2 linked regions of the Drosophila melanogaster genome follow. The protein of the gene in region 1 purifies or fractionates together with the protein of each later gene. This does not show direct contact. Each region holds a gene or a part of one and is shown on either strand. Other genes may lie near its edges.

Region 1 (3,406 bases):
ACTTGAATAGTTCGCCGTCAACATCCAAAAAAAGATTATATACTTTAGGCTCATGTTCACGAATTAGATATCATTGTAACAAATGGGGGGATATGTTTGTGTTTATGGGAAACTTGATCACATCAAACAAACAACGTAACGAGTTCAAAACATTCTTAAACACAACAAAACATTTGCACAACTAATACGTAATACTCAACACAACATTAACAAGGTTTCTGTAGATACGGCTTAAGAATAAATAAGAGTCTGTAACTAATTAATGTAACATAAAATATGTACTAAGTCTGATAGTAATGTAGCGTACGGATCGCTTAGCGCTAATACAAAATGTGAGAGTTAGTCGCAGTGTGGCCACGTACCACTTTCTACCTGTTGACCACTTTCATGGTCAAGATGTGTCAGCTGTTCCACCAGTTTTTTTCACTTTCAGTTTATAAAAATCTACGAAATTATATTTTCAAAATTTTCTAACACGCTTTTTTTTTTGAATTTTTTTGGCTTTGGAAAGACTTTTGAATGGAATAATGCGTTAATTAAAAGACGTTTGTTGTTTTATAACAGTAACATTTTAATACCATATTTATTCTCTAGCTATGCAGATTTTTCGTTCTCCAGTCGAACAAATCATCCACACTGCAATCTTCTTCGCTTGAACTCAATTCCGGATCGACCTCCATCTTGGGGTCTACTCTTCGCTTTTTACTAAGGAGTACTTTTTTCTGATCGTTAATTTTAATAAATCTCTTCCAGTTGTCGATCTGCTCGTCGATCTCCTTGATGTGTCGCTTGAGATTGATGTCCTCCTGCTCGTCGGCCACAATTTCACTGGATTCCGTGTCCGCCCGCTTGATCTCCTGCTGGAATCGCTGCCATTCCTCGTCCTGAAGGCGAGCGGCCTCCGATTTATTGGTCTTATCCTCGTCGAAGAACTTTTCTGGCAGTTTCTCGACAGTAGTTTCATTCTCAGGCTTGCTGCTCGCATTTCCCTGGGCAGTTTTCTCTTGAATGAGGGGAGGATGCTTTTCCTGGCTGCTCTGTGGAGTTTTATCTGGCAGTGTGCTGGAGTTTTTGGCAGGAGCTGAAGTCTTGGTGGACGGACCCGTAGGATCCTTGGGTGCAGTAGTGGTGACGGGTTTCTCCACCTTATTCTGCTTAGCCTGATCGACGTTCAGTTTGTGCTGCTTGGAATTTATATGCACCTTCCAGACGTTGGGTTTGATAGGAATCCTGCAAATAATGCAGGTCAAGATGCCCGAGGAGTCATACGTATAGTTAAGTTCAGTTAAGGAAACCAACTAGCTGGATATTTATTCGAAATTAAAAGTTATATTAGAAAACAACATGTTTTAGTAAACACCGGCTAGAAAGTGTAAACAACAATAGAATTTCAGTGGGTTTTTTGCTTTTGTAAAGGATATTTTGCCAATGGTGAATCCACAGTGACTGCTGGCTTTTTCGAAACGCTGAGTTTCTTTTGAAGGCGTTTTATATTCCCATTATTCATGTTGATTTTCAATATTCTTAGGTTTTTCAGCGGCTTCTGTCAATCATAGGAATTAAACTAGAGATGAGCGCAACGGCGATTATTTTGAACAAGACACAGAACAAATGGAATGGAGAGTTTGCTTATTTTTTTATGCTATGCAAATAAATGGAACAAAAAGTTATTCCAAAAAATTGTTTAGATGTATTTTAAATTATTTTGGAATACAACGAAAACGAGGCAAGTACAAATTTAAAAGCATTCAAAGTTACGTTGCCCTGGTCTTGTTATCGATTGCACTATCGATAGCGTATCTAAAACCGAGTTGGCAGTCTACCCGGCAATTTTTTTAGACTACGTGTCTAAGCGAAGAATGTGTCGTTGCATTTCAGATCGGTTATAATTTTCGAGTTACTGGCTGGAATTGGGACATGAATCGGACGCCGAAGATGCTGAACAGCAAGGTGGCTGGCTACAGCAGCCTAATCACCTTCGCCATCCTGCTAATCGCCTGGCTGGCCGGATTTTCCTCTCGCCTCTTCGCCGTCATCCGTTTCGAGTCGATTATCCATGAGTTTGATCCGTGGTTCAACTACCGGGCCACCGCCTACATGGTGCAGAATGGTTGGTACAACTTCCTCAACTGGTTCGACGAGCGCGCATGGTATCCGCTCGGCAGGATTGTGGGCGGTACCGTCTATCCCGGCCTGATGATTACGTCCGGCGGAATCCATTGGCTGCTGCACGTACTCAACATACCGGTCCATATTCGTGACATCTGCGTGTTCCTGGCGCCGATCTTCAGTGGCCTGACCTCCATCTCCACCTACCTGCTGACCAAGGAGCTGTGGTCCGCGGGCGCCGGCCTCTTCGCCGCCAGCTTCATCGCCATCGTGCCTGGCTACATCAGTAGGTCGGTGGCTGGATCGTACGATAACGAGGGCATTGCCATATTCGCCCTGCAGTTCACCTACTTCCTGTGGGTGCGCTCAGTGAAGACTGGATCCGTGTTCTGGTCGGCCGCAGCCGCTTTGTCCTACTTCTACATGGTGTCCGCCTGGGGTGGCTACGTGTTCATCATCAACCTGATACCCCTGCACGTCTTCGTACTGCTCATTATGGGCAGGTACTCGCCGCGTCTGCTGACCAGCTACAGCACCTTCTACATCCTGGGACTGCTGTTCTCCATGCAGATCCCCTTCGTGGGATTCCAACCGATACGCACCAGTGAACACATGGCTGCGCTGGGAGTGTTTGTGCTCCTTATGGCCGTGGCCACCTTGCGCCATTTGCAGTCCGTGCTGTCGCGCAACGAGTTCCGGAAGCTGTTCATCGTCGGCGGATTGCTGGTGGGCGTTGGCGTCTTTGTGGCCGTCGTGGTGCTCACCATGCTGGGCGTTGTGGCCCCGTGGAGTGGACGCTTCTACTCGCTGTGGGATACTGGCTACGCCAAGATCCACATTCCCATCATTGCATCCGTGTCGGAGCATCAGCCCACCACTTGGTTCTCGTTCTTCTTTGATCTGCACATCCTGGTGTGCGCCTTCCCAGTGGGAGTGTGGTACTGCATCAAGCAGATCAACGACGAGCGCGTTTTCGTGGTGCTGTACGCCATCAGTGCGGTTTACTTCGCTGGTGTGATGGTGCGTTTGATGTTGACCCTCACGCCGGTGGTGTGCATGCTGGCCGGAGTGGCCTTTTCGGGACTGTTGGATGTGTTCCTGCAAGAGGATTCGTCTAAGCGAATGGGCACAGCCATAAGCGCAGCCACCGAAGTGGATGAAGCTGAGGATTCCATTGAGAAGAAGACGCTGTACGACAAGGTGAGTTCTTACTAACACACATCCATGGGATTTGATTTTAAAATACATCGCATTTGCAGGCTGGCAAGCTGAAGCATCGTACTAAGCATGATGCCCA
Region 2 (4,221 bases), on another chromosome or scaffold:
AATTAATTTTCAAATGAAGTTCAGTTCAAAATGATCATATTTTTAGTAAGAATATTCCTGTACTCAAACATGTTTTAAACTATCTGAAGGTACTATCAGCACACGTATCTAAATGAGATACATGACACTTCTTTTTGCTGGCTTGGTACTTGACAATTACTTTCCTGATAACCCGCTCCCAAGTTTGAACTGCGAAACAAAGCTTAACGATTAAAATTCACTTAAACCTCCAACAATTTGACTTTCAAAACGCGTGCTGATTTCATAAGCATGCGACTGTAAACTAAAATCAGCAAGCAAATTTAAAATTTACACCAGCTGAGTTTTTAGCCTCAAAGCGCAGGTGCACTAACTAAACAAAAATAAATGTGACTTCTACAACTTATTTAGTGGGTTAAATAAGTCGATTAAATTCTCAACACACAACTGTTCAAAATGTATGCGATTCCGAAGATGCTCCACTTTTTGCCAAACTGTGAGCTGTAATTTAATAACAAAGTTGACTGGAAAAAGCTCATTCAGATGCCCCGCATTCCAATTACTCGATACAAAAGATTCAAGTGTTTTCATTTTATTCACTCGTATTGCAGTAGAGACGTCCAAGATTATAATGATCAGTGAATCTGTAGTTGATAAGCTTTTTTATAAAAAACAAAGACCGATCATGCCGGTTACAACTGAATGTAGCAGCCGTTACGTTAATATTAAGATACTTAAGGTAGACAATAGCAGATGGTCAGGCAATGGAGACCTAGTCCTTGGCGGGCACCTCAATGACGCGGGGCTTGTCGATGATGCGTGCGGTCTTATTGCCCTTCTCAACGATGCCGATGATCCAGGCCTGGTAGCCCTCCTGCTTCTCGATGTCCTTGCAATAAGCAGCGGCCTGCTCTCGCGGCAGGCAGATCAGTAATCCTCCCGAGGTCTCCGCCGAGTGGCCCTGCAGCAGCTGGAACATGTTGCCGCAGGCTTTGGCCACTGCAGCCATCTTGGCGATCACCGGCAGATTGTGGATAACAAAGGAGACATCCTTTTTCTGATGTGCAGCCAGGGTTTGAGCGTGGCCTAGTAGTCCGAATCCAGTAATATCGGTGGCTCCGTGGGCATTGTACTTGTGCATGAGGCGAGCGGCTACGCGGTTGAGGCGAGCCATAGAGTTCATCGCCCGGTGGTAGGCCTTGCGTACATCTTCTTCGGACACCACCAGCTTAATGCGGTTCCAGCGCTCCGGCTGGTCAATCCACTGGTGGGCATTCACGGCCACTTGGGTGCCCAGTGGCTTGGTTAGCACCAGTACATCCCCTACCACGGCATTATCTGGCACAATATACTCATTTGGCTGGCAAATGGTCGAGGCAACCCCACCAATGGTGCACCACGGATTGACCACGCTCTGGCCTCCAGTCACAGTGGTGCCTGCCTCCAAAGCGGAGTCCTTAAAGCCTCGCATTATCAGCGGAATGACCACGTCACGCTCCTTCTCTGTCATCTTGGTACTGACCGCCAACAGCATCAGCATGTTATCGCAATCTGTGACTCCCATGGCATACAAATCGCTGAGCACATTGGCGCACGCAATTTTGCCCATCATGTAGGGATCATCGACAATGGGGTAAAAGAAATCGGTGGTCTGCACCAGGCAGAGTCCGCCGTGTCGCAGCGGAATGACGGAGCAGTCCAGGCCAATACCGATGCGGGGAATGGCCACGTTGAGAAACTGCGGTTCCTGGTCCTGGGCAGAGTAGTCCTGCTGCAGGGCGGACACCAGCTTGGAGAGCACATCCTGCGGCACTTTGCAGCCGCGCCCCTTTAGATCTGCGAAGCGTGTAAGGCGGAAGGATGCATCCAAATCATGGGCCGTGGGATCGAATGGACGACGCAACTCGGCGTCGCCACCACCATGGAGCTCCAAATGGGCCGAGTTCAGCACATCAGCGGCGTAGCTCATCTTGCTTTATAGCTGTGGATGGGGGAGATGCAAAGAACAGAATGTAAGTAGCGGCTTTAACCGATTAACGCACTTTTGCCGCGCAATAAACACATAGTGGGCTACTCTATGCAGCGAGTAACTCGCGTTCTCCCCGGCCACCAATACCACAGCGCTCAGACGTGTATGTACACGGATTTTCTGCCGCGTGTGTGTAGCGCGGCCCGTGATTGGCTGCAGTCGCGATGGCGGCTAAAACGGGCGAAGTCAGTATTTCTCCCTGTCGACGAGGCGAGCAACGTGAACAATGCCCACTCATTTCAATTGCAAAATGCCAAAAAGTGCGCGCTTTGAATTGGCCATTTGGTTCGTTGCGTTCGTTTGTCTTTTGGTACTTACGTTTGCTTGTGCGATTGTACAAAGATAATTGTAGAGTAACGTTAGCAAATTATATTTATTTTGCGCCTGGTTTTTGCTTTTCCAACGAGCGAGATGTCACAACAGGGTTGTATTAGCGTGTGCGGCTGATTCGATATTTGGGATGCCGATTGTCTGAAGCGATGGTTCAACGGGGCTGCCAACTCGCCCGAAATCTATCGATTGTATTGTGCGCCAAGGGTAAAATAAATAAAAATATGTTAAAACCGCGGAATAAATGGGGGAACCGAAGTGGAAACTGTGGTTCACAGTGCTCTGACTTTCGGGAGCAGTTAATATAGTTGGCATTAATTCAATTAGAGCTCCAAAGTGCTGGTCACAAAGAGCGCACAAGAGCGGCCCATGAAAACCTGTTGCGCCAGCAGAGCGAAAAGTAAAAGTAGAAGAAACCATTTACCTTTGTTCGTTGATAAGACAAGTTAACTTTACTCCACATCCCAAAAAAAAACCCACCTCATTCAAGCGGAACATCGTTAAACAAAGAACTATAAGTTTCAGGAAATCGAAGCCCACACAAAAGACTTGAGCAGCGAACTTGGTTTTGGGCCATGGGATAAACTAAATTAAAACGGTGACGAAATCATTAAAACATGATTCAGCTACGCCTGCGCACTCTCGTTTTGCTGCACTTCATTGCCCTAGCCAGTTCGGAATATGTGTATGGCGAACCCGAATTCAAGTGTCCAAAAAAGTGAGTTATTCCAAATATTGTATATTACATATTTCTTCACTTATATGGTGTTTTTTTTTCAAATCAGATCAAAGGCCTTGTACCCCTGCGAATGTGTGAAGGGCAGCGATAATGGCCTCTACATTCGGTGCGAAAATACAAACTTGGCTACCTTATCCGTAGCCCTTCAGAATTTGGCCTCTTTTGGTATGCCCATCGAGGAGTTGACCATCTACAGAGGACATTTCGGTGTGTACTTCTACACGTCCTTTTAGTCTGTTAAGCTGAAGAATCAAATTCTCTTTCTAGTTCGTCTATATGGGCCACTATTTGCTCATATCAAAGCACGAATGCTGATCATAGAAGAAACACCATTGGCCACCATTGAGGATTATGTTTTCTATGGAGTAAATAATACTTTGGAGCAACTGCATTTACTTCGCACAAATCTAAGCCACGTTGGTTTACTAGGATTCGGCGTAAGAATTAAACAATATACCGATACCATCGTTATCTAAACGGGAAATTCTTTTTTCAGATTCTAGGAAAAGCTAAGGAACTCGTAATCGATGGCCATGCGTTCCAACAGCTACCCAAGGATCTATTTGCTGGCCAAGAGATCGCCAATAGTCTGGGAATCATACGTGTGACCAATGGTAACCTAAGTGATCTGCCTATTGAGACTTTCCAGCCATTGCGGAAACTAAAAACGCTCGACTTGCATGGAAATCAATTGGAGAATCTGAAACGAAACCAATTTAAGAATCTAAGAGAGTTGGAGGTCTTGGATATAAGTCACAACCAGATCAAAAAGCTGGAGGCACAGCACATAGCTGATCTGACAAAGCTGGGATGGTGCAACGTTTCTCATAATGCCCTAAGCGAACTTAGTCGCGGAACTTTTGCCAGAAACTCTGTGTTGAAGGTGCTCCATTTGTCCCACAACCAGATTGCACGCCTAGATGCGAATAGTTTTAGGGGTATGCGTTTCCTCCGTCGTCTTTTCCTCAGCGATAATGTGCTCACGGATATTGGTCGTGGTACTTTCGGCTCAATTGCCCGCATTGGAACTATTGATCTTGCACGCAACCGTCTTAAGAAGATCGAGTTCCAGATGTTTACCCAGATGAACTATGTGGAGGTACAATTGCTAATATAAAATTTGAAAAATTTAACTAATTGCTGC

The links. Proteins that work in one complex are often made in the same cells at the same time.
Region 2: the proteins of CG11839 (region 1) and Sps1 purify together in Drosophila melanogaster (affinity purification with mass spectrometry, with the first as the bait; one large-scale study listed by BioGRID). This does not show direct contact.

The regions. Positions count from the first base shown.
Region 1 is NT_033777.3:25,068,066-25,071,471, reverse strand, and holds CG11839 (uncharacterized protein), read right to left. Parts: upstream 1,546-3,406; 5' UTR 1,508-1,545; coding exon 1,422-1,507; intron 1,270-1,421; coding exon 591-1,269; 3' UTR 558-590; downstream 1-557. Other genes in the region: CG11836 (uncharacterized protein), read right to left, coding at 1-54; Stt3B (catalytic subunit 3B of the oligosaccharyltransferase complex), read left to right, coding at 1,918-3,309, 3,369-3,406.
Region 2 is NT_033778.4:14,268,215-14,272,435, forward strand, and holds Sps1 (selenophosphate synthetase 1), read right to left. Parts: upstream 2,445-4,221; 5' UTR 1,949-2,444; coding exon 752-1,948; 3' UTR 558-751; downstream 1-557. Other genes in the region: conv (convoluted), read left to right, coding at 2,956-3,056, 3,124-3,284, 3,345-3,514, 3,574-4,176.